Linked DNA regions of Styela clava. The protein of the gene in region 2 binds, or shares a complex with, the protein of the main gene of each other region. Links are inferred from orthologs where the notes say so. Each region holds a gene or a part of one and is shown on either strand. Other genes may lie near its edges.

Region 1 (11,166 bases), on a different chromosome or scaffold from region 2:
TATATTAAATACAAAATCGTTGCTATCATAAAGGTAAACCAATTCAGCCACTCGAAATATATTGGCCTTCACAAAGCAATGGAGGCAAAATTGAGAGTTCATGAGCTATGAACATTTGTTCTTTTCTTTGTCTTGAACTTTCCATACTCCACAGCCCCTATTAATTTTTTTTTTACTTTTAATTACCATGTGATGGTCATACATATCTTTAACTTGTATTTTCTGTCATGATGTATTATCTCAATGTGCCAAACTATTAATTAGTGTGCATATTTTGCTTCCAGATGACATAAATGTATTGTCATGTTTATTACCTCAGCTTGGAGTATTGACAAGAAAAAGGTGCCAGTAAATTAGTTAAAAAAATTTTCAACTCATTGTTATAATCAGAATTCACAATCAATAGGAATTATAAACAGCCAACAATCAGTGAGAATTATATGCGAAATCCCTCAGAATAAATTTGTCTAAAATCGGAGGAAGGCAAAAAATATAGGTGGTTTCCATCCACACAAGCATTTCAAGAAGACTTGCTCGAGCCAAACTAAATGAGCATCGTCAGGTGATCGGTAAGGCTGCAAGTTGAATTCAGCCCTGCAACCTCCTGCATAGAAGATAATATTAATTAGTGGGCTATGAGCTAAATTCCTAAATTTAAACAAACCTATCTACGATGCATTATGTACCAGCAATGTTACCTACGATTAACTGAATATGTAATATGTCTAATAAATTCACCTACAAAAGCAAGTTCGATAGATGCAAACTTTGTGTTATGGAATTGTATCGCAGCACAGTTTTGTATGACACCCTCTTTAAATGAAATTTCAATGATTAAGCGCAAACATTAAAATTACTAACTTTGAACTTTGTCATTATCTGCAAAATGTTCCACACAAATCTTTCCGCTATCGCGTTTGTAATCTTCTCTGATAAAAAAAAAACGTCTATGATGTCCAGAATTGCTCTTTACAGCTTGTCTGTTATTCCAGCTTTCCAAGTAAGCAAAACTTCTTAGATATAGAGATTATTTTGTTTCGTTACAGGCGCAAAAAGGCAGGTACTACACGTAAAAAAGACGCCGAGTAGCAAAAGCGAGCGGAAAACGGACGGGGAAGGCGACGAGAAATATGTGCATTGGAGCGTATCATGAAATACAATGTTTTGCCTGTAGTCTTATGGAGTGACGTCAGAGTTGCCTATCATGTTGTTTGATGTCATTGCTTTAACACGGACTCCGGATTTTTCATCGCTGGGAACACCGTAAATTCCGGCTGTAGAATCGTTTTTCTGCGGACCGCTCAGGCTCAAATACAGAAGTCTGGCTGCATAGTTGCTTGTAACCAACGACCGGTTGTCGAGTGTCAACCTATTGAATGCTCTGAATTTGTTTTTGAGGTGAAATTTTAGGTCTCTGCTGCGTTATGTCGTTGAGCAGTGGGAGAAACCTTTGGGGTATGTATTGAGTCATGGTCTAACTAGCATTTAATTACTGCATTGCCCTACTGACCTGACACTGTAACAAGAGAAAACTGAAGAGTTTTTTTTACTACATCCGTCATACTGCAGTACTGTCATTGCTCTTTCAAATTTCTTTGATTTCTGTTTGTCTCTTGTTTCAGTACCGGTACCTAATTACTAGCACCCCTCACACAGTCACAGTTGTGTTTAACTGTGTAACCTTGTTCTAAATTTATATATTTAATTTCGATGAGTTAGCTATTATAAACTACTGGGCAAGCTTGTATTACTAATTAACAAAATTTGTTTTACCATTTTTGCAAATACTTTTTTGATATGATCAATTATTTCCTTGTTTGAGGCATCTTCCAAACTTAAGTGACATCTCAGCTACAGGATATTACTCATGTTATCAACCATACTATTTTAGGTTTAATCCGGAAATCTGGCATAAGACACAGTGCCGATTATGTGAGACCAAAATTTAAAGGTGGTCCTGCGAAACCCCATGGTGAGATTTTTTAGTATCAATTAAAAGTTTTATGCTTGCACAATGACCAGGTATTGGTTCTTGATGTGGGTCAGTGCATTTGTAACAGGTGCCATTCTAGCCTGTTTGGGTAATCTTGATTTTTTAACAAGTACATCTCTCCGGGATAAATATGTTATTCTCATATAAATTGATTTTTACAAAATGCTGAAATTATTTGTCAATTAGTTATCTACTCGTAAAACTGATCTAATCTGCATCATGTCAAGTCCCCTTTGATTTGTTATACATCGAGCTAGTTTGGTTTCGTGTTCAACCTAACTCTAAATGGATTTAAACGAATGGAAAACATTGTTTACCTGTTTTTGAAATGTACAAGTGCCTAGTTCTTAACTCATTTCTACCCGGAAACTTATCGAACATATTTTTTTCCCAGAAATTGGAAAATTCATTCGCCAAAGTTTATATGAACATGGGGAGAGAGTGGTTGGAATTGTAGGATTCTTTATCGTTGGTATGTCCGCTTAATTGCATGCAATTGCTAGATTCTTTCTATGAAGTGTTTTCTCATAATGAAGGCATTTGTGTTATTGCATCAGTTAACTCCTAAAATATTTGCTCATGAATCCATTTATATATTTTGTTGCTTACTACAAATTGATCAATCATGTTCTATCATTTTGACAGTTCCTTTAGCGTTCATATACCTTCCATTCTCAAAGCACAGACAGGAAAGAAATCAGTATATTTTTGAGAATTACCGCACATCCTATGTCTATCCATGTAAGTATTGCATTTTCTAATAAACAGTGCAATTGATGGCGTATTCAATCACAAATGCATTGCCTTTTTTCCAGATCCGAAAAGAGCAGAGGAATGAATGATATTACATCTTTTATTTATTATTTCAAGTTTGAAAATTCAATAAACATAAAATGAAGATTGATAAGTCTGTAGCATTATTATCACAGTAAAAGTGGGATGCCCGTGCTACACAGATAGAGACTATAATCACCCCCCCAACAATATTAATCAGCAATATGTATAATTTACTGGGCTCATTGACTTGATATTCGTGAACACAACAATGTATGAGGATCGGAGAAACTATACGGAGGTAAAAATGCTCTGATATTCGAGTGGGAAATATCATTGCTTGTAGTTATGAATCGTTATCAATAATAAGTCTCTCTGCTCTGAACATTTCACCAATTGTTACCTGTTAAACAGAACACATTATAATTAGAGTCAAATAGTAATCACATGTTTCGTGGTGTTTAAACTGGAGACATGATCATCTCGCACCTTGAGCTGTATTTAAATCTAATATTCTTCAATATACCACAAATTGAAGGCATCATTGGATTGATTGATCTCTTGCCAAACAGCAGCGTTGGCATAACTGTGGCCCTCTTAACAACAAGTTTATTATCAGCGCACAGATGTATGTAATAATGGCTTTTTCACAGTGTTTGTTCTGGTAGTAATTTGTGTGGGCAAGAGGCACATGTTGGTCGTATTTTGGAATTTGAATGCTGTGGGTGCATCTTAATTTGAAATATAAATGACAATTGTTTATCAGCAAAGATTAATGTGGACCGCATGCTAGCGTCAATATGCATATTTGGCCCAGTAGTAAGTACCTAAAGTTTGCCAACCACTGCCTCACAGAGCAATAATATAAATGAGATTTACTTGTCTTTTAATCATTTCCAAATTCTTTTGTGCTATGTGTAAAAAGTCTTGGATTTTGACAGGATCTGGCTCTGATTTGTTTGCCCGGAAAGCATCCTTAGTTCGTGTAATAGCGTAATGCCTTGATATAAAAAAATACATATATAGCAAACTGGTGTGATAGATGAAAGCAGACACACTTCTGTGCCATTCATAATGTAGTAGTTCATAAGTTTTTTTCAGGAATTTACATAAGAAGGGCTTTGACTCAACTCTTCAGAAAAAATTCAAGATTTAAATGCTAGAAAATAATGATTAAGAAGCACTGCTTGCTTTATAATCGCACAATAGCTCTGATGCCTGTTGTCTGCGAGAGAACAGCATATTGTCATTAAGACAGAAGTGGTGTGTTACGCGAATCAGCCATACACTCAGGGCTAAGCAAAGGCTTTCGGCTGGCACATTGTTGTACTAATCAAACTTGCAAATCCACTTGTGTGGTGCAATGGCAAGTGGATTCTAATGTGGTTCACATGGTCAGACATTGTAATACAGCAATCATATGTTTCTGCCCAGATGGCAGAGGCGTTTCTCTATTCAACAGCTTACTATTTTTCAAACTCATTATGACCTAAGTTGATCTTGTGTTTTGTCAAATTTCATACAATTTTATAATGTCAAAAACCAAAGCGCTTTCATTTTAGCATGGCATGATATCTCTTGAACTTCAGTCAGTCAGTGTCAAATAGGAAATGTTATAAATTAAGCCTATTGTTTTTTATTCAAACCTGAAATTATAGTCCGAAAACTTCGAGCTTTCTTTTAGCAATGCTTTATAAAGTTGCAATGCTCTTCCTTTAGCCATAATAAACAGTATGCCGGTGTGACGAAAATCTGAACATTAAACTACTATACAAATTTTCTCTTGGTATGTACTGGTTGCTCTATATGTAACTCAACTGTTAGTTACTCCATCATCAGCGAAAGGGCATATAATAATTGAAAAAAACAAATAAATAAAACTGATTAAATCAAGAGAATGTACAAACAATGTAGATTATAAGGTGTTGCAGAAATGAGTGGTTGCCTACATCTACATGTTTACTCATCTAAAACATAGTTATTTTTCAGCAAACAAAAAAGAAAACTTGACAAAAAAATATTACTAGTTGCCCACCATATTCATATTTTTATTGGGATTTCAAAATTGAATATAGTTAGTAACCAGCCATAGTCAAATTGCCATAATTTGAGTGCACGAAGTCGATGAAGTGGTGGAACACTTATTATTTCATAATTTTTTTAAGTAACACCAAATGAAAATTTCAGAAACATTCAATCCAAATTACTAAGAATTATCTCAGTTCCTATCAACGCTATAAGTTTGTGCATAGAAATTAAATAGCAACAGACGAACCCAGACTGATATCTCATCAGCTTAAATTAAAAAAAGACATAACAAGTTCAAATACAGGGCTACACCTACAAACAGTACAAAAACTCGACTGCTAAGCGAAAGGTCTGCATGCCAAAAATAATTGTCTGAAGACTCGCTGTGACTAGCTATGACAGTTTAAAGTGTGTGAGTGCATGTGAATGAGCGCAAGCCGCTGGTTATACTGCTGTAATGTTATAGCACTTGTTACCCTCTCGGGTCTATAAAGGTACATTACAATACAACTAGTCTAGTGTAGACCCGTTTCGTACCTAAAGTAGGTACTTCTAGTTGGCGTAGCATACCGTAACATATACTGCATATGTCAATTCTGCGTCATCAAAAATCACGCCACAGCGACCTAATAGAGCACTTCAGACTCTCCGGGGGTCGGCAACCTGCGTGCCTGATCCGGCCCGCGACGCTTCACTAAATTATAGTAACAAAACATCCGTTTTGAAGAATATATTCTTTAAGACTAAATTATATTATAACCTAACAATTATATAATTTACAATTACTCGTTTATTGAGCATATAATTTAATTATAATTAAGCAAATGGCAACAAAACGCAGAAAAGTTTATGCTAAGTGCAAAGGGGTTTAATGGCGCTGAAAATATTCAAATAGAATTTTATGAGATGCAATGAGGAAATAAATCTATATTCTATTCTAGAGATGTATCACTGCTTGATTTTTATTATAAAAAGTACCATCCGTTCGATTTTTCAACTTTCTAAAAATATGTGCGGCCCGCCAATGACTTGCAATCTTAACCCTTTCCGTGCGATGGGCACGTATACGTACCCACGACAAAACTCGCTAGATTGCGGCGGGTACGTTGATGTACTCCACTGTTTTATTTAGCAATCGGTCGCAAACTGTTGGTCTAGTTTTTCCGGGTTTTAGTTTATTGATAAGAAGTCTTCTTCGAGATTAACATAAGCGACGGTAAATCTCGCTTTCGTTTACCATGGAAATTTTATTTGCGGTGGAATGAGGGAGTGTTTTTGAAATTTATGCAAATTTCGGTGTTTTTTGCTACAGCAATATTATGCTATTGTTTGCCAACCAAGAAGCGGTAACAGTAAAGGATTTAGCGAATATTTCTATTTTTTATTACGGTTTGAAGTTTCAACACCCAAAAAAAAATGCCTTTTTTCTATCCGGTTTGTGACTCAGACCACCCCTTTTGAAAAAAAAAAATTTTTTAATCGCCTATTGCAAGCTCTTTAAATAAGCTTTCCAACGAGCCGTCAGTGGGCAGCAGAGGATCATTACTTTTTCGTTAGTCGATCGATTAGTTGTGAGGGTACAAATGCATAAAGTCGGCGTAGCAAATACGATTATTTAATAAAAAATAAAAATTGCATGGAAAGGGTTAATTTTGGCCCGCGAGCGACAAAGGGTTGCCGACCCCTGCTCTACGCACTGGCACTGCCATCTATCATCCAAAACGCGCAGACGAGCAACCGAAATCGAGCAGATATTTCTCTCGTTTTCTCGTCGCGACGATCGCGATATGAGAGAGATCGCTGACGTTCGTCAAGTCCTTATTGTTGGCGCAGGTGCCATTCCGGGCGATCGTACGGATATTGAGGGCTCATTGAGGTGTATATCAATGGGGAAGCTCTATGACGTTATTGTGATGTCGTTGTGGCATAATTTTTGGATAGCGTAGTCAGGTGGGGGTTGGGATTAACATGTGAACAAATTGTTATGCTACGCCCACTAGAAGTATGTTAGGTACAAAACTACACGAGACCCCATCTTTGCACCTAGTACTTAGTAGACTATTCTACAGTTCAGTGTGATCTTTGATTCTTAATTTGTATAATTTTATATCATAAAATATGCCAATCACAGCAAATGTTCATAACGAGGAATTCCGGTTGCTAATTACTGGGCTGGACCATTTTCGACCAAATAACTAACTGATCCCATACTCGACATGGATCGGAGGCCGTGGTTCGCCATATGGTTCGTGTTATCGGCTCTTGTTTGGCGCTTGTATCAAAATTAATTTCAATAAGGCAATGATTGCTTTTAAGGCATTATTAACATGGCATTATGTTCTAGTTTTGCTACACTGACTACAGGTTAAGGAAAATACAAACAATACCCGCAGACCAAACTTTCACAATTTTTGTACCGATGAAACTGTTGTTTCCCAACCATTGATGGGGCGCCATCAGTACTTATTTTCGAAAGTTTCGCCAAAAACAAGCCAAGACGCTTGATCTTTTTCTTCTCAGATCCCAACAGACCAAAGCCTCTAGTCGTGCCATTAATAAGAACAATGGCTGCGATCTCTGCGGTAATTTCAAAATTATTATCAACTGCCCGCAGAAAGAAATCCAATTGGAGTATTTGGTTGTATTAAGATTAAATTAATTAATTAAATTAATCTCAAGTATGCCTGAATCATCTTGTGTTTGTAAGAAGCAAAAGAATGGTGCACTGTGGATACAGTGTGGTACAAAGAAGTGCAATACATCGTGGTGGCATGTGGAGTGTGCTGGTTTACAAGGTATCACAAAAGATTGTATCAATAAAATATAGATGCCCAAGTTGGGTTGTAGAACCATTAGGATTGTTGACACCTGCAAAATCGAGCAAAAATATAAGCGATGCAGTGCAAGATGAAATAAAAAAAGTCCTCCTGACATCATTAAGACTGTTGTAGGAGAGGGGTCATCGGCAACCACCAAAAGTTTTGCCGATTGCTTTAAGGAGCAAAACTCGGGAAGCCAAGTCAATCTTATTAAACAGACTGTAAAAGAAACTTCAGATCTTGCATTGCAAGAAAGTATGAAAAGAATTGACTCGAATATAATGGAACAGAGAAAAAGAAGCCGCAACATTGTGATTTCTGGATTGGCGGAAACTGGGAATGAGGACATAAAGCAAATTGTATACTCACAAATTAAGAGTAAAATTTCTGGATTCCAGTCCTCCATCATCTTGAGCTGCTACCATATAGGTAAGAAAGAGACTGGAGAGAGTGCAAACAGAAACAAACGGCTCATACTAGTTACTCTCAGAAATGAGGAGGAAGCATCTGATATCCACAAGTTTGGCAAGGGAAGGAAACTAGAGGATGACATTTGGATTAACCAAGATCTAACAAGAACTGAGCGTGAGGTCCAATACCAACAAAGAAAGGAAAGAGAGACAGGAAGAAAAAATCTGAGAAAATTGCAAAAAAAAGTCTAGTGGAGATGAATGTATGAAAACTAGCTTGGAACAGATCAAGACTATGAAAATTTACTACACAAATGCAAACTCAATTTCTAACAAATTAAATGAACTAAAGGTTCTGATAAGTGCGTGTAAATATGACATAATATGCATAACTGAAACTCATCTAAATCAGTATTTCCTTGATTCAGAGCTGCACATCAATGGCTATAATTTATTCCGTGAAGACAGGGAAACTCTCAGTGGGAAAGGAGGTGGATCTCTGATCTACGTCCACTCGGGACTTAATGCTGAGAGAGCACAGTTCTTCAAATCACTTGAAAGTGTAACTGTTTACGTATCTCTGAGGTCTGTCAAATTTGTATTGGTTTGTTTGTATCGTGCACCTTCACTAGATGATGAAGGTAATGAAAACATCCTATATGAGCTGGTCAGACTGACTCAAGCATCAGCAGACGAGGATATCCTTATTGTGGGTGATGTAAATCTGCCTGATATTGACTAGAACGTTGGTAGCTCTGTGTTTGAAACAGGTAATCAGAAAATTGTTGCTCAGAATGTATTTATGGAAAACTTGATACAACTGGGGTATTCATGGTTCATCAAAAATGAGGTTACTCGGAGGAGGTTAGTTGGAAATTGCATGCAAGAATCGCAACTTGACCAGGTATTTAGTACAAATTCTGCGTTGGTGCTGGAAGTGAACAAAACTGCAGCACTGGGCAAAAGCGACCATCTATCTCTGGTCATAACTTTGAATATGGGGGTGACAAAGTCTTATTTATGCACTACCAAACAGGATTCATCTAAGTTGTCTCTATTGTTGGTGGACGAATACTCACAGAACATTGATTGGAGTTACAGTTCCTTAGAAGAAATGTGGGGGGAGTTGTAAGAGAAAATCATAAACAAAATTCCTTTGAAAAGAGTTACATTAGACAGACATGGAAATGAATTAGTCAAAACACCTTGGGACTCATCAAAGCTTGAAAGAAAGAGGAAGGAAAAATGTAAAGCTTTCAAAATGTTTCATAAACATCCTACCAGAACAAATTATCATGTCATGCTGAAGAAACAGGAGGAAATGGCATCTGCGGTCTACCAAGCGAAGCTTGAGCATGAAAAAAGGATAACAAAAAACATGAAAACGAATTGCAAGCCCTTCTATGGCTATATCAGGTCAAAGTCTAAATTATAAACTCCTGTCTGTGCAGTGAGGGATAGTAAAGGCATGCTGTCAACATCTGCGGCTAAAACTGCGGATATTCTGGCAAAATTCTTTGAATCTGTCTTTAACTTAGAAAGGTATGGACCTCTTAAAGGAGCAAATTATTAAAACTTAGACAAAATCTTTACTGCAAATGTCAACTCAGACATAAACAGTCACTTATATGCTAGTTTCAATACAGTCTCAAAATTGCTGAACTCTTTAAATGCAAATAAAGCTTTTGGACCTGACAATATCTCTCCCAAATTGTGGAAACTCCTTGAAAAAAATGTTGGTTGCATTGAAGCTGTCACTGTTCTATTTAATCAATGTATAAAGGTAAGACAATTCCCCCAAATTTGGAAGAATGCGATTGTCATCCCACTGCATAAAAAGGGCTCAAAACAGGTAGCTGGAAACTATCGACCGGTATCACTTACTTGTGTGCTGTGTAAAGTATATGAAAATATACTGAGAGAATACATTATAAAGGAAGTTCATAGCAAAGTAACCCAGTTCCAACATGGATTTGTGAGTAGAAAATCCTGCCTTTCAAATCTACTTGAGAGCATGGACAGTATACTGGAGATTCTCGATGAGACAAACTGTAACGATGTTTTCTATTTCGATTTAAAAAAAGCATTTGATCAGGTCTCACACTATAGACTTCTTGTTAAAATGGAAAGTTATGCCCTGGACAATGATACAATAGAGATAGTCCGAGATTTTCTCACAGGTAGAACAATGAAAGTAAAGGTGGGCAATTTCTTTCCGGAGTCAAAAGCAGTAACATCAGGTGTTCCACAGGGGTCGGTTTTAGGACTCCTGCTGTTCCTGATTTATGTGAATGATTTACCAGGAGAGCTTGTGTCACATGCAGAACTTTTTGCTGATGATCTGAAACTAATTACAAACCCTAGTCATGATATCTTGCAAGATTTAAAAGCATTGGAATCTTGGCAGGAAGATTGGAAACTTTCTTTCAATCTGCAGAAGTGTAAGATTCTGCATTTAGGGAAATCGAACCCTGGGAATGACTATCCCTTTTTGGATGGAGTCCTAACCGGAGAGAACAGTGAATGTGACCTAGGAGTTACTATCAATACGAATTTGAAGTTTTCCACTCACATGAATACAATTGTTGCACATGCAAAAGGACAAATAGCATGGTTATTACGCAGTATAATAAGTAGGGATAAGGATGTGATGTTGCGTGTGTACAAGACTTTAGTGAGACCAAACCTTGAATACTGTACACGATTATGGGCGCCATTACCAAAGCATGGGAACTGGGGCGATATAATAAATCTAGAGGCAGTTCAGAGGAAGTTTACAGCACAAATAAGCTGCTGTAGAGGACAGAGTTATGAGAACCGTTTGAAGGTTTTGGGACTGACAACATTGTTAGAAAGAAGAATGAGAGGTGACTTAATAGAAGCCTTCAAAATACTAAATGGTTTTTGTACATATGGGCAACAATTTTTCAACAAGTCTCCTAGAACCGGTAACCTTGTCATAAGGCAAAATCAGCGTTCAAAGTTGAACTTTTTTTGGGAACAGGGTCGTAAAATACTGGAACAGCTTACCATTGAATGTGAGGTCAAGTGCATCTGTGAATATTTTCAAACACAATTTGGATAAATACAGAGATTCCCAGGTGTCCAATCCAAGGACACTTGGACAATACTGGGAATTGTC
Region 2 (9,181 bases):
AGAATTTATATTTTATCCCGCTCTTGGGAACTAATTTGTATAATGGTTGCCATTGGTTTGTATTTAAAGTATGGACTTTTTACTAGGATGATTTTGTGCTGCGCAAAATATTCGAATCCATGACCGATACCACTACTTAAAATGCCTTACCGTGTTAATTTAATTCTATTATCATAACTCAAATGTTGGTAAATCGGGCAGTTCACCACACATTTGAAGGCCACAGATCGCCGTTGCATTTTAGAATTATTAGTTTTATTATTTTGTAAACACGAATCCGAAATTAATTATAATTGGGCAGTTTACCACGTATTTCATGTCCACAAATACCCGTTGTATTTGGCATTAATACTTTCATTATTTTATCAATATAAAAATAGGAATCAATATTTAATAATATCGGTCAGTTTACTACACATTTTATGTCCACAGATTGTCGATACAACCATGAGTTACGTTGAACAGAATTAAATTAATACGGCATGACATTTTAAATGCTGGTACCAGTCATGGATTGGATTATTTTGCGCAACAAAAAATCATCCTGTAAAGGATCGATACTTTTAACTATCGTTATCAGAATTATTTGCCAGAAATTATTTTCTAATAAATCGACTTGTTTTTCCAACTTGTGACAATTTATTGGATATCGTAACAATTACGGCTATAAATACCGTATTTCCCCGGCTAATAAGTCCACATGGCAAATAGGACGATGTCTATTTTTAGCACTCAAAAAAGGGGTTTTTCCATATAGGCCTCCAATAAGACGGGTAGAAAAATTCGCTAATAATTTTATATGTTTAGAACCAGATCATGTTAGTTTGGTAGAATCATACTCACAGAATTAACTATTTTTAACAATTGAGCGGTAAATTTAAGTTGTAAAGCGGCAATCATTTTGGACAACCTATTAACCCGAATGTTGAAATAATTTTGGAATGTGATAAGTACTACACTGTACGTCCACGGGTTATTTCACAGCTGTGTTTTCCTGTCCCTGTTGTGTTATGCTGAATCAGCAAAACGAAAGGGTCACAAATCACTTTATCTTGGTGGCCGTGTTTCTCTTTAAAGTAACGATAACCAGCATGCGATTAAATATCATGATTGGCAGACCCTAAGACCCAAATATAAGGTTACACAAATCATGCTTGAGAAGACTCATGCGAATAATAAGCAGGCCACATAGAAATAAAAGAAACATACTTTCTCAATTTTTCGACGTAATGGAAATGAATTTGTAAATTAAAAGCCGCGTACACGAATGTCGGCAATGTCCACCCACGCAAACGTGCAAATGTGTCGCAACACTATGCGACGTACGGTCGCACAGAATATAAACAATCAAAGTGCCAATTTTATTTCATCGTCATTACGTGAGACAGCGTAAAAAGTCGTTTAAAGATTCCCGTAAAACGAAACACCACGTTTACGGCGAAAAGTGGCTACTATTCAGAATTATTCGAAAATCAGCCGAAAAGGTATTCGAATACCTTGATATTCGAATACATTCGAATATTCGATTCGTTTTGGACAACCCTGGTCCTGTGCGATTTTTGACACTCACACTCACAAAAATGCCGTGCTATGTTTCAGCTATTATTGGAAAGCTTGTTTTGGCTCTCATTCTTATAAGTGCATCATGAGCTTTTACCCTGATAATTCGGTACCGCTCGAACAAAAAATTTGGGGACCACTGAATTAGAGGATCTAGTATTTACCTGATACATTGGAGGCAAATCTTGGTCTCTTCTGTCAGGAGTTATCGCATTTCTTTCATCTTCTGTTTCTCCTACAAGAACGAAGCCATCTTCTTCCAAATCATTGTTCCTACTTTCATTATAAGGGACTGGCTGTTGGGGAGGATGAGGTTTTAGTTTCTTAGTGAAAAATGACATTTTTAGGCAAATCTGTAAAACAAGATTTATAAGTTGACAGCAAATGAAAAATACCGTTGAAGTCTCTAGACTACAGCAGGGACGTCGCTAGGAATTTTCAATGAGGGGCGGGGCATTCTGAAATTTCTAAGTTGGGCTGTAACAGCTAGCGGGTCCGGAGAGTGGTTGGGTGGGTTTACAAGCGTCTTGAGGGTTTACAAAATGTTTCAAGCTACGAAAAATTGCTATGTTTGATACAGAATAATACTTTAACATTTTAAAGAGGGGTATACTTTGTCAGATGCAACAAATTGAGTTGAAAGAATCTTTGTCAATTGATAAAGATCTAATTTGTAAATGCCAGCAATCCTTTGCACATAATTATTCTCCTTAGGATTCGAACACACAAAGGGTAATCATAGGTGCAGATGCGAGCGTATTCCTAACGCTTAGCACAATGTGCCACAGTGCAAAGAATAGCGAGCTAAAAAAAAAATTTTTGCCTTTGCAGTATAGATGATTTATATTAAAATATTTGTTACTAAAGAAAGTATTTGGAGAAATTGTGAAAAGTCAAACACAGGCAATAGAAAACATAACTGTTAAAACATTGCATGAAAGTGACAAAAGTCTATACAATGAAAGGGCATTAGAGTAAACGTCAGTAAATATGACTTAATCATAGAAAAACACAACATTTCATTTTCTACCGTCCACATGGTCCAATCGTACTGGTTGGCACAGAATACTTCTGTATTGAGGTCTCCTGTTACTACAGATATAACCATATAGACTACAGTAGGACACAGTTCTCTGATTCCAAGAATAGTCCCCACATGAAAAGACATCAATTAAAACAGTGAGAACAAACCCCTTCCTAACGAGCCAGTCTGGGTCTCCATATCGACTTAACATCGCCAACTGGTACTGTGTAATAAACTAAAAGCAAGCGCCATCTGAAAACGCCAACATTGGATTTTTCGGAAGAAAATAATCAGATTTACCAAAGGGAAAAAAAACAGCATTCAAGAGATTTTAGCAAAAAAATGCAATTTTGGTGATGGCCAACACATGTCTTGATTGATTCAAAATATTATCAAAACAAGAAGAGCGCAATCTCTCGCATCTGCTATCATGTCATACTCCCTCATTTCAAAGACAAATAGAGTGTTCGTTTTATTGAACCAAATGTTGAGACATCTTGGTATCGGAGAACTGTATCCTCCCTGACTCGCTGACTGTAAGAGTACCTGTATCATTTTACATGAAAGAAAGAGCATACTGCAAAATATACATAGTCTTATAACTTAAACTAGTATCATTTACCATGATAATTCATGCAAGATAAATCAATTGGAATATTGAGAGCAGCAGACAGTTCATTTTGTAAAAGGTCATATAAATTTGACCCGTCATGAGAATAAATCCATTGTCCGTTAATAAAATCATAACGTTTCGGCCCTGAAGTCGGTGATGAAAGCCATATTTGCCTATTAGGTGACTGCTTATTTATAACATAAGTCCCCTTTTTCTTGCCTAAGTTCATAGTCATAACTCCACTGCTATAATTAATGTCCAATTCATCATTTTCAATGTCTTCAAAAACGTTTTCAAAGTATTCCGAAAGTTGATCCAGAGTTTCTTCGCTTATTCTTTCATAATCATTCAAAGAGACCAGTTTTTCTTGCGAGAAATAGCGACAATTTTGAGACAAAAATTGTCCGATTTGTGAATGTTGACTGGTCTGATTTGCTTTTACCAAAACTGTTTCCATTTGCCGTATATTTTGGTTTTGCGACTTCAATCTCGTACATGAAAAACACCGTTGACCGAAATTTATTCTATTGACTCCACTAACAGCAAACCTAGCCAACATTTTGACTTTTCTATGCCCCACATTTACATAAAATCCTAAAGTAGACTCATAATGAGGAACTGTGCGCATTGGAGCGTCACGAGATGTCAATATGACGTATTTTTTGTTGTTTACAATGATCACGTTTTTTTGTTACGTCGATTATCGATTTGCGAAAAAATTTATTCACAATAATACTTTACTGAAGCGTTAAAACTGGAAATCTTGAATGTTGCAGGTAAAAAACTGCCGCAATTTACCTTCTTTCGACTAAAGAGTTTTCTGATGACCGGTCACGGACTGTAACCAGTCAAGGGTTACAGAATTGCCTATCAGTTTTCCCCGAAAACTCGACAATGTAGAATGCAAAGTATATATGATTTTTATATGGTGGCGTGTTGGTTCCAGATGAGACTAAAATTTATTTCCATCTACGCTATTCAAGCGCTTGAAACACGCATGCCATTGCACCGGGAAAAAACTGCATGGGCGGCAGCTTTTTCGGTCGGAACTAATTTCTTATTAATGAAACCAAAGTAAAGTTCTTCTTGTGAGGACATAGTGACAATTAAATTATTTTTTAATTCACTAGATTTTGAAAACACAAACCGATTGTTTACAACTATGCTTGAATATTTTGTTAGAGCGAAGAAAGGCATATCTGAGCGATTGTGATTTCTGATTATTAAAACCAAAGTAAAGTTCTTCTTGTGAGGACATAGTGACAATTAAATTATTTTTTGATTTATTAGATTTTGAAAACACACACCGATTGTTTACAACTATGCTTGAATATTTTGTTAGAGCGAAGAAAGGCATATCTGAGCGATTATGAAAATTACCATTGTTATATCATCGTTGACTTTTTGCTAAGAAAATAGATGCTTGGGGGGGGGGACATTTTTTGTTTATCGCGTCTCCTTCCACCCTAAAATGCATTTTTTTTCTTGTTTTATTCTGTGTGTGTAAGTATCAGTAAGTTTTTTTTACTTGTTTTTTAAGGCTCCCGAAGTATGCGAACCAAGATGGCGGACATCGGAATGTAATATGTGTACTAGGTTAGGGTTAGGCCATAATTTTAGGTATAAATATTACGGGAGGCTCTTGGCTAGTCTTCGAACTGATAATAGGACTAAAATAAGGAAAATTGGAAAAAAATTATCGCCTAACCCTAACCTGTTACCCATGTTACGTTCCGATGTCCGCCATCTTGGTTCGCATACTTCGGGAGCACCTGTTTTTTTTAATGACTGGCCCTGCTTGGTTCACTTTTTTACTCTTTTATCTGGGCTTGCTTGAGCAGTTGTCGTCGGTAGTTATTATTTTTTTTTTACACATTTTTCTCCTTTCTTATCTTTTGTTTTTTGTGACTGCGCTAGTTTTTACAATTTTTTGGGTTCGTTTTTTTCTTTCTTGACTAGCCCTGCTGCTTGCCGTAGTACCCGAGCTGTACATATAAATAGAACTAAAGAGCGCCCCGTAAGTGCGTGTACCAATATGGAGGTAACTAATATTGTTCGCCTACTCTACACGAAGTTGTATAAAGGGACAGAAACCCATGGGCACAGGATATACTCACTTGGCTAACACACACACAAATCCGCGAACTCGTAATAGAACTAGAATAAGGAAAGTCGGAATAAAGTTACGGCCAGTGGCGTAGCAAGACTCTCGTGGGCCAACCCCGCAAAAATATTTTGTTGAAATGACCCTGAAAACTCTCGGACATAAGCTTAAACAACGTTTTTTTATTTCGTCAAAAAGCACAACATGTCGCTATATAAAGATTATGGTAACCTAAAAATTTTCTTCGTTTCTGTGCGCCACTGAGAGGTTTTGCTTTCGACATCATTCTGACAGCTTTCGTAATTGTGCTGGTACGATCAAACCTCACGACGCCGAAAATCGACGACTCCGGCATTGTTACGTAACAATACGATTTGAGCAAAACTAAAATCAACATTATAATTAGATGTGCATTCCTGGTTTTGCAATGCAGCTTTTGGCTTTGCGGCTTAAATTTCTAAATTCTAACCGCTTGGGGCCCCCTTGCGATGTGGCGCACTGGGTACTGAAATAGACGAAAAACTGGCCAAAACCAGATACCACACGAAGAAACTTTGGAAGTATAAATGCCAAGATGGCGGCGATCAAATTGTCTCGCGCTGCGGCATGTATTTCCAGTTCAGTGATCAAAACATCACTTAATTACCAGCGTCACGCTTGGCAGCCCTCGACGATGCTAATTATTTCGAAAAAATTGCATTGAACATACCGCGTTGATTCGAAGCCTGGTGTATTTATGCCTGAGTGAAAGGCATTCAACTGAGACTATCGTGTGCGCTGTTCCAATTCTTGAATGTGTGGATATTCAAGAAGATAATATGATATCCCGTTTTTAATTTTTGTTCATTTTGTTCATTCTTTTTTCAAAGAAATGCGAAATTATGCAATCATCGGCGACAAGATGCGTGAGATAATTTGAGGAGTGAATCCACAAGCCAAATTTCTGACTGCCAGTAGAGAAATACTAAGACTGGAAAACGGTTCATCAATTTGATCCTTTGTATAGCTCTCGCTTTAACCCTGGTTTGCTGTTTCTAAATTTATAAAACATCTCACGAAAAAATGTTGAAATTAGTGCGGCTATATGCTCTTTTACTGATTGAAACGGTATCATACAAGCTGAAAATAAAATGAAAAACGCCATAAACCTTGTTATAAGCAATATATATAAGCTCGTGCTTAGAGCCCCAGGGGAAAGGGAGCACCACATAAATTTGCATAGAAGATTTTTCAATGATGCCTCTGTGTTTAATGAAACAACTCGAAAGGGTTGAATGCGCACATTCGTGTGATTCAGGCCAGTATGGTCCTGTGCATACATCCCGTCTTCAGTATTTATAATTACTAACTTTTTTATTTTGTTTTTACGAGACGAATAAACATATATACATACAAGTTGGTACAATCGAGTTTGTCAGTCGACACAGACCTCAATATTGGCCCGGTTGAAATAAAACTATCAAGTATCATCTATTCTAAAATATCTCTATCGATGTTTGTAAATATGAGAACTGTTCAAAATAAATCATGTAAATTAATCGTAACTTGGCCCCAAATTACTAATGAACACAGAAACTTACTTATTCTAGTGTCAGATAACATAAAACACGAGTTCATAATTATTATATTTTATATCTAAGGAACCAAAATCATAAGTGCTTAGCGCAATCGAAAGGCATGTCCTGGGCCAAACCACGGGCCACCCTCTCCTGCAGAAACAAACAAGCATGATGAACTATCGATTATATTTAATTTTGATTGAGATTTTTTCGATCTTGGTAAATCGTCAAATTTGATCTGTTATGGCAACATTGATTCCGCTTTATAGCAGTCGACTGGTTCTATTCAAGATCATTGTTAAAACAATCCCAAGATCTGCAATAGAATCCCAAAAATTACTGATATGCATTTATTTTAGTAGAATAGAAAATTGATTGACCATATTCCACTTTACACTGATTAGCTTATATTTCATCAAAATCCGAAGAAAGGTGGCGTGCGGCCTCGATGTAGTTTCAGAATGAATAGAGAGATACATTTATTACAATATTGTTTTATTTATAAAAAAAACTGAAGAAAAAAAAAGAGAGATACATCGCGCGCGCGATTTACTGCATTTCATATTTAGTGCCTTCAATAGGGTAGCATGTTTGACCTGTCAGGGGGCTCTTGATGGTTAATCCAACCCTGATTGATGCTATTAATATGATTATGCCATTATGGGCATAAATATCACCAATAAACAATTTCCACATATACCAATACCCTATACGATATATGTTCATGTTTTTATTTTGTAATATGTTTGTGTGCGTGAAATGGGTGAACAGGCACATGCATTTCTGCGTGTTTTAAACTTTACTAAAGATTTTGCCTGTTGTCCCGATTTCCCCAATTTTTCTGTGTGTTCATTCTTATGTTTTATGTGTTTATTGTTTGTTTCGTGTATTTTTTTAGGGGAGATCGAAATAAACTTATACCCTTACCCCATGAACACACGATAGAACGTGACAGCGATACGATTAAGCTGGATTAAGCCGACTTTTAACAATCTTCCTTTGCTTTGATAACTTTAAAAACTCTAATCCGGGAGATGTCATCCAAGATTCATAACAACGCGCCTTTCGTTTCCGACCATATTGCCAAAAATTCACGCATGAATGCAAGTCGAGGAAACCGGACTTTTCTCTTCAACAGCTGTTTACATTGCAATGCTTTGTGCTTTGTTTACCAGATTGTCACGCTGCGGTTTGGCCTATTTTCTATTCAGATACAACGTAAGCGTGTTTTTAAGATTTGTTTGAAGTTGAATTAATCTTTAAAACATGCATTAGTTGATTCTCTTTCTGCGGTGCGGTCATCGTTAACGTGTGTTTAGCGTGGTGTCTGTCCTGTTGTAGGAAACTCGGGTCCGATTATTCTGTAATTACAGTACAGCAGTACCAGTTTCAATTGTTCAATTTAGGCCACTAAAACCTACTTAATTTTTTTATACCTATGAATCTAGCATTAGTTAGGTAGGGTATAAGTTAGACATCTTTTTACTTAGCCTGAAATAGCCTGTATTGATGATATTACTTTATTAAAGCAGTAAAGAATTCAGAAATGACAAAAAGTGAAAGTTTGGAATTTTACAAATGACCTACAAACCTAAGAGTATTCTACAATATTTTGTGGACAGTTTCGAACAAAAAAAGTATTTGAAGCGCTCAAATACTTTTTCTGTCAGAATCTATTGTGTGCATTGTAATACTGTAATAAGCCAGTAAGCCGGCGCGTCTAATACGGTATTCGGATCAAGTATTATTTTATTCAAAACCAGTACAGGTCAGCAGGTTGCGCCATATATTCCATGCGCATTATGTATGGATAAAAACTCCAATTTAAGCAATTTGTGGCCAGTCTGCCAGGGTGCCTCATAATCTGGTGCACCTTGTGTCCCATAAACACATTATTTATGGCAGGCCTGCACAACATACGATCCGCGGGTCTAGAACTTAAAAAACAAGTAACAGATGTTGCTATTTACTGTAAAATTTCAAAAAAATTGGAGCAGATTTTGTAGAAAAATGTAATTTAACAGTCAAAAAAGTACAACAAGAGGAAGATCTATTGCTACTAAACGAATTATTTATCTAGCCTACAATGGAAATATCCAATAATGGTAGATATGACTGAATAAATTGTCATACATATATTTGGGACGGTTTTACAAAACTGAAGTAAAATAATTTTCTGCAGTCAGTTTATACTGCAACACGCAATACCTAATTCTAATAAAAAAGAAATATTGAAAATGAAGGGTGGGTTTTCAAGGTAGATGAACCACTAAATACATATTTGCCATCTCATATGCAAAAATACTGTACCTTGTTTTTAT
Region 3 (11,672 bases), on a different chromosome or scaffold from region 2:
TGCTGAGGGACATATTTCAACAGTGTAACAATTCTATAGCAAAAAGTGGACTATCAATAATAATTAGCTTAGGTCTTATTAAACAGTAAGAAATTATCAGATTATCTCCACTTTGTCAATATTTATGACCTTGTCAGCTGGCTTGAATCCTGTGATAAGTGATTTCTGTCCATGATTACTAGAACTCATTGAAACCAGTGTTTTTCCTTTAATAAGGAAAATATGTAATGTAAATCATATCCAGAGTTTCGACATTTGAATCACTGAATTTTACAGGTCATATTCCAAAACTGAACAATAAATTAAACTTATCAACATTGAAGAAGAATATGATTACTTATTTAAATACGAAAAAAACCTGTGCAGCATCTGTGTGGAAAAACACTTTTCTTTCTCGACACATATTTCCTATCTCTTCAACTGGTTGCCGTACACCAATTTCATTATTTACCATAATAACCGAGACTAGAGATGTATCGGGACGAAACGAACTCTCCAAGACATTTAAATCAATAATCCCATTTTCCTGTATTTATTTAACAAGTTTAACCAGAATATCATATATAACATTGGTTCAACTTTAAAAACGGCTAAACAAAATGTTGAAGCTTGATTTAACTTCATCAACATTGCCTATTATTAAATTTATATGGACAATGATGTATGTACAACTATAAAAATCAACTTGTGAATGTACAATCTTACATAGCAAGGCTATTCAGCTGTTAATACCGAATATGTGTGCACATACCTAAAAAAATTACTAGCTTATAGTTCCTAACATTTTTTAAAAAACTTCACAAACAAAACTTCAAATGCATTATTTAACGAAATACTTCAACATTATTGATTGACCATTAGCGGGAATTATTACATATCCCTTTTTTGCCAAGTTTTCAAAAATTGATTCTAAGGAAATGACAGCAAGGTAGAGGCATTTCACTCACTACTAAGTAATATTGAAATGAAAACAATTTAGCGTCTTTCACATGGCCTTAATAAAGTTATTGCAGACACGTCTTTTGTTGTTAATCATACAGACTATGAGAGCATCTTATGCGCTAGTTAGTGAATCAGCTGCAAGGTTAACAGCAAAAAAAATCGTGGAAAACTGAGTAACTTATCCAACTTTAACACACAGTTCTCTGGCAAGTGATTATTCCCAATAAAGACAGAAAGGATAAAAGGAAATTTTTTTTTCGAAAACTATTAAAGATTTTTTTAGCAAGGGGAAACTTAAGAAATCACCCATCTCAAATTTATAGAGCCAATGAATTGAATCGAACACCCAAAAGTTGATTTAACAGTCTTAGAAGATGTGCAAGATCATTAAAGTATTGCAAATTCTGTGATAAACAAACCCAATTCTGGAATATTCCATATTCTGAGCTACTATTCAAAGTGTATTTGAAATAGCAAATTATTTCATTTACTAAGCTCTCAGAAAGTAAACAACCAGCTTACCAGCTATATTCTAATAATTCTTAGTGCTTTGCAATATAATGAATGCACAAATGGTCAGATGGAGCCATATTGAACTCCCAATATATATATCTTAGAAGAGACAAACCTGCACAGGTAAATAAGTAACTTCAATGCCTTCACTTTCCATAGATCGACATGAATCTAACACACATTTATGTTCAATTTGGGTTGTTATGATGTGACGTTTTTTACTCCTGAATACAAAAATAATTGAAGAAATGGCGTTACAAAAGAAATGTATTCAATTGAGTTAGCATATAAGGGAAGGCTTTTTTGTTATAATAATAGACTACACAGTTGAATACAGTACTCAATTATAATTTGCTGATAAAGTTAAGCATTTTCAACTTGTGGAATCGCTATACAACGAATACAAATTATTAAAATATCTATTTAAAGCTGGCTGAAATTTCACATTAAATAAGTCTACTTACTTATAAAATCGCCCAACTCCTTTTACAGCAATATTATTGCATTCAGTTGCTCCACTTGTAAATATAATTTCACGTGGATCAGCCTATGTAAATATATAACATAGTGAAATTATAACCAATTTTGGTTTATTCAATTCAATTGATCTTCTAAAAACACTTGTTAACACTTGAGATGGTATCTTTGAAGATTTTCCAGCATTCAAGAACAAATGGAATTATATTGACAAACCTTGCCCTTGCGCGTCATCAGACATGTCAATATTTTAAATCTGCGTTGGAATTACCCTGGCTAATTTGCACATCTACCTTTTCCCAAAATTTATTTTAGCATAACTATGCAGGTACTGCCTGGTGTAATATTAAAACAGGAATTTAAGAATGTTAAAACAATGTTACATTTATCAAACTTGCAACTTGTTTTCGAGCGTCTTCAACAGCATCTTCCGCCTGCCATCCATATGCATGTGTACGACTATGTGGATTTCCATAGTAACTTACAAAATATGGAAGCATTGAATCCAGCACTCTTGGATCCATTGGTGCGGTGGCCTTGTAAAAAGTTAAATATATAATATGCAGGTAAGTTCAGAAGAAATAATTATACATTCAAAATCCTATCCCATAAAAAAAATCCTGATAATAGGAACGACGCGGGATATTCTCCTTGCAGAATTTTATGTTTTCTGTATGTGCTTAGCATGGATTATATTAGGATAATATTGTTTTCCCAGTCGATAGCTAATCAAATTGGAAAAACAATTGGAAAATAAAATTTACAAAATTCATGCAAATTCAAAACTTATCTTTGAGATATAGCAATCTTACCATCAAACATTACACAACTGAGCACAACATTTTTAGTGTCAAGAATTCAAATATATTTTTTCAAATAATCAATTCTGTTCAACCTCATTTAAAAAGGTAATATTTCAACAAATCAAAGTTAAAGTCACAATTCCTACACAATGAATGGCCTGTTCTAGCCATGAGAAAAGTAGCAACTATTTGCATGCTAACATACAACATTTACATATTCACTGGATAAATTACCTTTGACTAAAATTGACTTCCCTTTCCTCTGTAGGCTAAACATGAAAAGCTAAAGTAAATATAATATTTCTGGTATGGCAATCATTATAGTTGTGTTACCTGAACATCCAAATAAACAGGACGAAAGCCAGGTTGCCATTCTCCATGGCCTTTTTCAATTGTAGCTTGAGCAATTGATTTCCTTTCTTGAGTGATATGAGAGGAAGATGATGAATATCGAGTAAAAAGTGGGTACTTGTTTGTCAAACTGACGGATTTGCGCAACAATGAGTGCCTGTGAACAAATTAACGAAGTTAGGGAAAAGAGTGGTCAGTAAAAACTTAGGCAGGGGTGATTTAGCCCTACATTATTCAGTTCTTTGCCTCTCACCCCAACATATCCTCTTTTTCATTGCATTTAATTTTTTAAACCCAAATTTGAACACATAATCGTATATGATGGGATTTGATACAGGCTGTTTTTGTCTGAGTTTGGCATGTTTTAAAAACTCACTTTGAAATCTGTTTTTAATGACGACAATATAAGTGAAAATTCCTAACAAACTCGAAAAAAAAAGATTGAAGCTAGAGTCATGATGGCCAAGGGGAAGTTTCACAATATTTTTCAAATCACTTGTAACATCTATAGCAGACATAGGCAAAATCCGGCCCGGTGGGTAATTCAATCTGACCCGCCTGATGCTGCCACAACCAAACTGAAATTTTGATGTTTTAGTTACAAATAGCTCAAGGAATTTGTTGAGATTGCGGTTAAATTTAGTTTCGGCACGAGGTTTATTGTTTTCCACTGTTGCTTTTGTAACACTGCAAACATTGTTCATAAAATGTAGTCTGACTCTTTACTTCATACTTACATGGCCCGACAGTCAAGGTGGGCAAAATTTTTGGCCCCTGATTCAAGAACCATGCCCACCCATGATCTATAGACTAGATTTTGCAATTATTACCGGCAAATAAAGTTGATAGGGTAGATAAATATGATCTCAAATTACTGTTGTTGAAAAGTCAGCTTTTAACTAAACAATGCTTTGTTCCCATTACTAAACTTATGTTCCACTAGATCGAATTGAGTAACTGCTTGGGAATATCAATATGATTTAATACAAAGTAGAATACAAATAAATAACCACTGCAAAAACGATAAAGCAATGCTCAAATATCAGAATACCAGCAAAATTCCAGACAAATGTTACGGTATGCATAATAATAGCTATACCTATATACAGGATAGCCTATATGACCATTTCAGTACTACTGAACTATAATTAATACTTCTTTGTAACTCTATCAGTCTATACTTACATGATACTGGACTTTTTTACACACAATTCCAATATATTAAAGTTTGAAATTCCAAAAAAATTGCTTAGTATTCGATTTGGTCTACCTGAACATTATTCACTATTCAGTAGTTAGTATTAGAAGCTTAAAAACTGCAAAAGTAAACCCTTAATAATTAAAGAATAATCACAAAACTATGATGTGCTATATTTACATCTGCTACGTATCACAACACAAAGACAGAAAGCTCAGAAGATGCTCTTTTTGACCACTGTTCTCCCTAAATTAAATTAGTTGAGTTGATTCAACTAAAGAATCACTTAGGATAGGATTTACATATGTATCCCCGGGGAGAAGAAAGTCGATAAGACGGCTTAATCATATGGCAAACTAAGACCTCTCATCCGGTTAAGGTACCAGTCAATGTCGGGAATCTGATATGGGATCAAATGGTCCACACCGGTACCGTATCTTATGCCATCATATTTTTTTCATTGCAGCATTGTTTGCATTAGGTACCGTACCGTACCGGTACCTAAAGACTGAAAGACAGATATCTGGATATCGTAGCAGGATAGCCCCATGTGCTGAATTTTTTTCTCGTCAACATGGTCTATTTACATTTGCGAATTTGACTTTCAATTTCTTTCACCCAATTCCCTGCTTTAAAGGACCATTCAAGATTTATAAAGTCTTAGATTAAATTATGTTGCTCAGACACTGATACAAGATACAGGCAGCTCTGCGGCAGCTGACTCTGAGCATGTTAGGCTGTTTGACTGAGAATACTACGCGCTGTGTGTTTCGGTATTTACTGTTGGATTTGTATTGCGTAATATCAATATGATTAAAGCCAATCTACCGGGAAGAAGTTTATGGATAAAATTTTTTTTTTAGATTGAATTTAAAGTTAAATGAACCTTTCCCCGATCATCGACTTCCTTGTTTACTTCGTGACATTGGCCAATCAGCAAGAAGCAAAAAGTGACGTAACAATGCTCCCCTTTCGCATCCGCTCAGACACTTTTCTCACTCAGACAGATTTTCAAGCGTGGTCGTATAAACATTACCTCGTTTTCGCGTTTTTGAAATCTATTCGTTAGTCTTCAGTTGTGTTTCGGAAACTTAAATATGAATCAGATAATTCAATGATCACTCTGTCTTCCTATGAGTGTTAATTTAATTGCAGTAATAAAAAATTAGTGTAGAAATAGCTGTGATAGACTAGGCTAAAAAAATTTACCGATACTTTTAAAAAACAGATTGTTGTATGCGATGAATCATAGGGATGGTTTAAAACACATACCCCATTTTACAGGTGCCAACTCGCAAAAGCACTCTTAGAATAACCGCGAAAATTTTGCAATAGTAAAGTATAGGAAGAATTTTTTGGGGGTTAAAGGTCGGGGAAAGGTCCATGGTGGTCGATCTGTTACGGGTGTTCTGCGAGGTTTCGATCCTTTACCAAGGTCAGACGAAACGCTACAGAAATAAATTTGTGTTAGTGTGCAGCAAGACTCTTGAATCACTTAGGATAGTTATTACTTATCGATCTTTAGATCGGGTCTTTGTGACATAAAACACCATACCACTGTATATTCGTTCCTTATTCTAAGATCTTTGTTCCTAAATCTTGAAAAAAGAATACAAATTCATTTAAATAACTTTTCATGGATATGAATGGGCCCCCATATGTAGTCACCCCTTCTTCACTCGATTCCGACCTCGAGTCATGAGGGCCGTTTGGACAGGGTGCTACGATGAAACTATTTCAAATAGGGAATAATTGAAACTCGATTTTTACTCAAATAATGGCGTACAAGTATCTAAATTCAACAACAATCGGTAAAAATTATCAGTCAACGGCAAAGTCGGTGCATTTTTGAGGGTTTCCCATTGGCTCAATTTGACGTAGATTCGCCACTGCTCAAAAGTACTTTTTTGTTTAGTTAATTTCAATTTCTTGTTTAAATTAATTTTACTGAATTTTTTTGTTAAGGAAAAAAGGGGTGAAATGAAGTAAAACAGTGTTATAATGTGAAGAAACAAAAATACACGTAAAAAGTGCGTTCTGAAAATGAAATAAAATTTTTTTTTCTTTAGTTGTATGCTAGTTTTACTCAATTTGTAGCAATTAACCCAAATATGCCAATATTGAAGCAAAGTAGAGTGGAAATAATTTGGGAAGCGTGCATACACCCGCACACATAGTGTGTGTAAGAATAAATTGTATATTTCATGAACATCTGACCCTGTTAAACTGCTTTCGATCTTCCACAAATTGTTTTTATATAATGCATTGTTGTTTGGAAATTTACTAAAACACAATATTGATATCGTAGAAATCATTGATATTATTTTCTTCAGCGCTTTTTGCTAGTATTGTGATGTAGAGGGTATTTATTAAGTCCTGACACAATTTCAAAATTTTGTTTTGTTCTAGTATATATTGAAATGCACAGGATTTTTATCAAATTAATCTTAAAAATAAACAGAATTACATTGGAGAAGCAACAAGCCAAAAGCATACCCTTCCACAAACAGAATTAGATAGGATTGACAGTCCATTTGTTACACTTTTATTAGTAAACAATGACGGAACTCAATAATAACTGAAATGAAATAAAGAACAAGAGTTAACATTAAATCACACACTGCACAGTCTACATAAATATTCACTATCTCCCCCCAAGTCTTTTGTGCGCCGTTTCCTAGGAGTAGCAGGGTATGAAAGACTGAGTATATGCAGTAAAATGATCATATTTCTGAGGGATTTAAGTCATGACATAGTCTTTTTGCCATCTAGGAGCATTTCGAGCACGATTCGAACGTCGGGGCATCCATTCAGGTGACGTGTCAACATCTATGTCAGCGTCCGTAGGCCATGAAGGATATTCCACTCCTGCTTTTGTCGGCGGGCTGTTAGGATTTGTGACTTCAGCTTGTGTTTTGTGATCGTTGGCTTCGATCGGTTCGTCGTGTTCCCCCGATGGTGTGACGTCGTTCCCCAAAGGCTCTTTTCTCGTGTATTGTCTTTGAGCAGGTGGGAGCTTACAAAGGATGTCGTTGTCGATGACGCGTCGTGGTTGAGGTCCAATAACGGGTGTGTATTTACGCAGAAATTTTCTGTTGCGAAGTGTCACTCTTCCGGATCCGTCGACTTTTACGGCGTATTGATCAAATGGTCTAACTTCAATTATCAGTCCCGTTTTGTCCCATTTTTTCGGTTCTGGGCCGATCTGATTTTGAATCCTTACGCGATCTCCGATGACTAGTGGAGGGAGCCTTTTCGTGTGTTCCGACCATCTTTCTGCCGATCTCATATGCCGGTTACGAAGAGCTTCCTCTCTGGCTGCCAAAGTTTCACGCCAAGTGTTGTGCGGTTTATGTCTTCCGGGAAGAATAGGGATGAAGTCTTTGATTGCGCGCCCGAACACGCACATTGCTGGTGACATTTTGGTGTCCGGGTCCGGTGCGTTTCGGTATTGCAGGATGGCCCGCTGAAAGGAGTCTGTGTCCAGTTCGCCGTTAGGCCCAGTGTTGTTGCAAATAAGTCGTTTAACAGTTTTTACTCCGACTTCTGCACGGCAGTTACTGTGTGGGAATGCCACCGATGATGTACGCCCCATTCTCTCAAAAACTTCTGTGTTGCAGCGGAGGTGATCTCAGGTCCTCCGTCAGAAGCCAGTTCATCTGCAATACCAAATGTCACGAATGTTCTTCGTAGGCTGCTGATAAGTCCTGTCGCACCACCAGACGTCCTTTCGACTATTGGCCAATTGGAGTAACGATCAACGATAACTAAGTAATTGACACCTTTGTAGTGAAAAAAATCGGCACAAATGCATTGAAACGGATAAGATGGTGTATATGGAGATGTAGGCGGAGCGCATGGCTGTGATGGAGCCATGCGATTGCATTCTCGGCATTTGTTGCGTGTTGTTAAGATCGCTGCTGTAATTCCTGGCCAGAACACGGATGCTTCTGCCCTTGAGGTCATTGATGAAACTCCTTGGTGTCCGGCGTGAAGGGCACGTAGAACGTCTCCGCGTAACGTGGGGGGGATGACGATTCGATCTTTGTAAATTATCACCCCGTCCACAGTGTAGAGGTCGTTCCTGAATCTGTAATACTCTCGTAGCGGTGTTGGAAGTTCAGTTCGCTTATCTGGCATTCCCGACTCAATTATTTCGACTAATTTGTTCATGTGATCGTCGCTGGCAGTGGCCAACTTTACCTTTTCCCTTGTGACAGTTTGCAGAGCAACAATTGATGAAGCTGCTGCCTCCATGATTGAGGTCTCAAAAGTGCTCTTGTGATTCACGGTAGTGCGAACTTTCTCCATTAAGGTTGATGAAAAAATCGTAGAAAGCTGAGAGGTTTCGTTCACAATCAATGCAATGTCGTCTGTAAGATGCATCATCTCAGGTTGCCCTGTGGGGTGTCGAGAACAGCCGTCAGCAGCTCGGTGTTTTACGCCTGGAATGTGGATCATGCGGAACTTGTATCTTAGGGTCTTTTCCTTGAGATTACGGAGACGTGTATTTGATATTTTGTCGAGTGACCTGTCGCCGAAATTTTTTAACAGCGGTTTGTGGTCTACGGCAATCACAAGGTCATCACAGCCCAATACGAAGTATCTAGCTTTGTCCAAGGCATCGACTACTGCAAGAGCTTCTCCCTCGACTGGGGCGTAGCGTGATTCTGCACTATGAGTGAATCGACTGCCGACTGAAGTTGTTTTCCATCCACTGGGACAGCAAAACGGCTTTGAGTTTATACAGGAGCAATGCTTCTGAAAAAGCCAATACCCGATGCCGTTCTTCGACCAGTCGGTGGCGAGGCATGTTGGCTTCGTTTTGTCGAAAATCTTTACCCCTTCTTCGATCTCTTTTGCTATGGTAGTTTTTGACTCCTCAAATATACTGTTCAGGTCGTTGTCCCAAATGAATCTTGATCCGGGTTTCAACAGTTCGCGGAATGGCAGCATGCGTTTCGCCATGCTGAATGCGTAAGACACTTGGTGAACGAGTCCAAACCATGAACGGATATCGGTGATGTTCTGCGGAGTTGGGAAGTTAATGATGGCGTTTAGAAATCTCGAGCAGGGTCTTACGCTGTCCATTGTTATTTCAAACCCAGCGAATTCTACGGTATCTTCGGCAAACACGAACTTTTCCGGATTAAGTGTGATGCCATGTCTTCCACAAATATCCAGCCATTTGGCGGCTTGAAGAAAGCTTTCTTCTATGCTGTCGGACCAAAGGAGGGTGTCGTCAATGCATTTTGTTTTATTGGGAACGTCAGCCACAATTTCATCAAATCTACGCGAGTATCCGTCCCCTGAATCAATGTAGCCTTGTGGTGCAGTGCGGTATCGGCCCCAGGGTGTGATGAAGGTAGTCAGTTGCCGGTCTTCCTCTCGTATAGGTACACTGTGATACCCGTTCCACGCATCAAACACGGTCTTCTTTTTGCCGTTTGGGACTGAGCGTGCTTGATGGAATGGTGACTGCGTGTGGTGGGTCTCCCTGGTGGCGTAGGCGTTCAAGGGTTGCAGATCCACTGTGCCACGTGGTCTCCCATTCTTTTTTGCACAGACTACCATTCGGTGACACCAAGTGACTGGATCGCCAATAGGAACTGTTTCTATCACGCCAAGTCTGACATCCTGGTCGAGTCCAGCCTTCACTTCGTCCTGCCAGTGCAATGGGACCGGTACAGGGGTGTGATGAGCAACTGGGTCGGCGTCTGATTTGATCATCAGTTTCATTGGCGGCCCTTCCATCATGGGCAAAGGCTGGTGTTCACACGTATTAAACGTGCTGGCTCGGTAGTGTTCAATGAGAAAGTTCTTAAACTGTGCGAGGTTGTTTGATGTGGCTGGAAATGGGAGTTTGGTGGGCAACGTAGGAGGTAGTTGGCGGCGAGGACAATCACATTGCTTTTGTATCTGGGCGCTTGTGTGTTTTGCTTCCCTGTTGCTATTTGCGACGGATTTGTCCAGTGAAGCCGCGCCAGACGCACAATAGATGCTTTGTTTTATGTCGCCTATTTTGGGAAAGTTGTTAGAGATCATTCCCAAGGCGGTGCAAGCTTCCCTGCTGATGAACATTTCATCGATGCTGTCAGTAACGTATGTTATATGCCTAGTTTCAACCGCATCGCCCTTTTCATCATTTCCAGATATTCGCAGGATCGCGGCGCCAATTATGTTGATACGTTTGTTGTTCGCTGCATGCATCTTCATAGTGACTGGTATGAGATCTTTTTCCTTCAGTCCAATGCGGCGGATAATCTTGATGCTCGCAAGGCAACTTTGACATCCTGTGTCGGCCATTGCCGTGACTCTGGCGACACTGCTGTTGGCCTTTAGGCAGAATCCGAGCGCTTCGTAGTCCTCTTTGACAGCTCTTATGGCAAGGCCTATGAATGGTTGAGGTTTCGAAGGCCTCTTGGTCCATATGTCATAGGAATTGTCGTATAGATGGTGATCCAGTGATATGCTTTGGCTTGGCAATCGTTTGAAATTATTAGATCGGATTGTGCCAACGTTCGCGCTTACTGAACACATCGCATCAAAAACGGCTCCTTCGCATTCAGCATCTTTGTGTGGTTTGCTAGTTCCCGTTCTTCTGGAACTATTTTTCTTCCTGCACATGTGATCAAGATGGTGTTTGAGACCGCAGTGTCCACAAGTGTGGTCATATGCCGGACATTCAGCTTGCCTGATTTTTGGGACTGCCCTGGCGCCATGGCCGGGTTCGCCGCAGTAAGAGCATTTATTTTGAGCATTCCTTTAATCTCGTCTGTAGGAACTGCTACGCGCAGCTTCCGCACCCATCGAGTCGAACAGGCGTGTAGCTGATCGTTTTCCAGATTCCTTAGTTTCCACGAATAGGAAGACTTCTTCGAGTGTCATGTCCTGATTTCTGTCGCCCAAAAGATCGAGTTGTATTTCCTGATCAGCTATGCCTCGCGTGAGCACGTCCCGTAAGATAGCATCTGTGTAATTGACAGTTGCTTCGCAAGAAGGGCATTTAATCTGGAATTTGCATATTCCGGCTTGTCCACGTAGGCGGGGGCCAAAAGATCGGACAGTTTTATCTCTGTCCTGTCGCATGTTATGCAATGCCACTCTTGCAACCATTGTGTTTTCTTCGCGGACTGCCAGTCGTAGTATGCCCATTCTTCTGATGATCCAGCCATGGTGATTGTTGGCCTACGCACTTTTTCCACCTTTGCAACCGGCGATGAGTTGTGGGTGGTGGAATGTGCTGTTATCAAGGCAGCCACGATGGCATCGCTTTGGTCTGGTGTTTGGTATGTACAGCTTTCAAAAGGGCAACGGACGACGGGCATGATGAATGCAAGCACTGGTGCTAGTAAATAGTCACGTTAGCCAAATGTCGATAACTAGAT

Evidence for each region.
Region 1: frataxin, mitochondrial-like (region 2) and LYR motif-containing protein 4-like share a complex: the UniProt entries of both Drosophila melanogaster proteins name them as parts of the mitochondrial core iron-sulfur cluster (ISC) assembly complex. The link is inferred for Styela clava from reciprocal best matches to the Drosophila melanogaster genes fh and bcn92.
Region 3: frataxin, mitochondrial-like (region 2) and cysteine desulfurase-like share a complex: the UniProt entries of both Drosophila melanogaster proteins name them as parts of the mitochondrial core iron-sulfur cluster (ISC) assembly complex. The link is inferred for Styela clava from reciprocal best matches to the Drosophila melanogaster genes fh and Nfs1.

Annotation. Positions count from the first base shown.
Region 1 is NC_135255.1:1,694,374-1,705,539, forward strand, and holds LYR motif-containing protein 4-like, read right to left. Parts: upstream 4,653-11,166; 5' UTR 4,491-4,652; coding exon 4,414-4,490; intron 3,768-4,413; coding exon 3,647-3,767; intron 3,171-3,646; coding exon 3,114-3,170; 3' UTR 2,833-3,113; downstream 1-2,832. Other genes in the region: uncharacterized protein LOC120331577, read left to right, coding at 1,425-1,455, 1,892-1,972, 2,388-2,465, 2,639-2,734, 2,809-2,831. UniProt on the Drosophila melanogaster protein: Stabilizing factor of the core iron-sulfur cluster (ISC) assembly complex that regulates the stability and cysteine desulfurase activity of Nfs1 and participates in the [2Fe-2S] clusters assembly on the scaffolding protein IscU.
Region 2 is NC_135262.1:2,039,553-2,048,733, reverse strand, and holds frataxin, mitochondrial-like, read right to left. Parts: upstream 3,655-9,181; coding exon 3,199-3,654; downstream 1-3,198. Other genes in the region: uncharacterized protein LOC120332896, read right to left, coding at 1,725-1,901. UniProt on the Drosophila melanogaster protein: Promotes the biosynthesis of heme as well as the assembly and repair of iron-sulfur clusters by delivering Fe(2+) to proteins involved in these pathways.
Region 3 is NC_135251.1:29,312,906-29,324,577, reverse strand, and holds the start of cysteine desulfurase-like, read right to left. Parts: upstream 4,431-11,672; 5' UTR 4,274-4,430; coding exon 4,272-4,273; intron 3,244-4,271; coding exon 3,069-3,243; intron 2,469-3,068; coding exon 2,316-2,468; intron 2,003-2,315; coding exon 1,920-2,002; intron 1,680-1,919; coding exon 1,571-1,679; intron 527-1,570; coding exon 359-526; intron 1-358. UniProt on the Drosophila melanogaster protein: Catalyzes the removal of elemental sulfur from cysteine to produce alanine. It supplies the inorganic sulfur for iron-sulfur (Fe-S) clusters.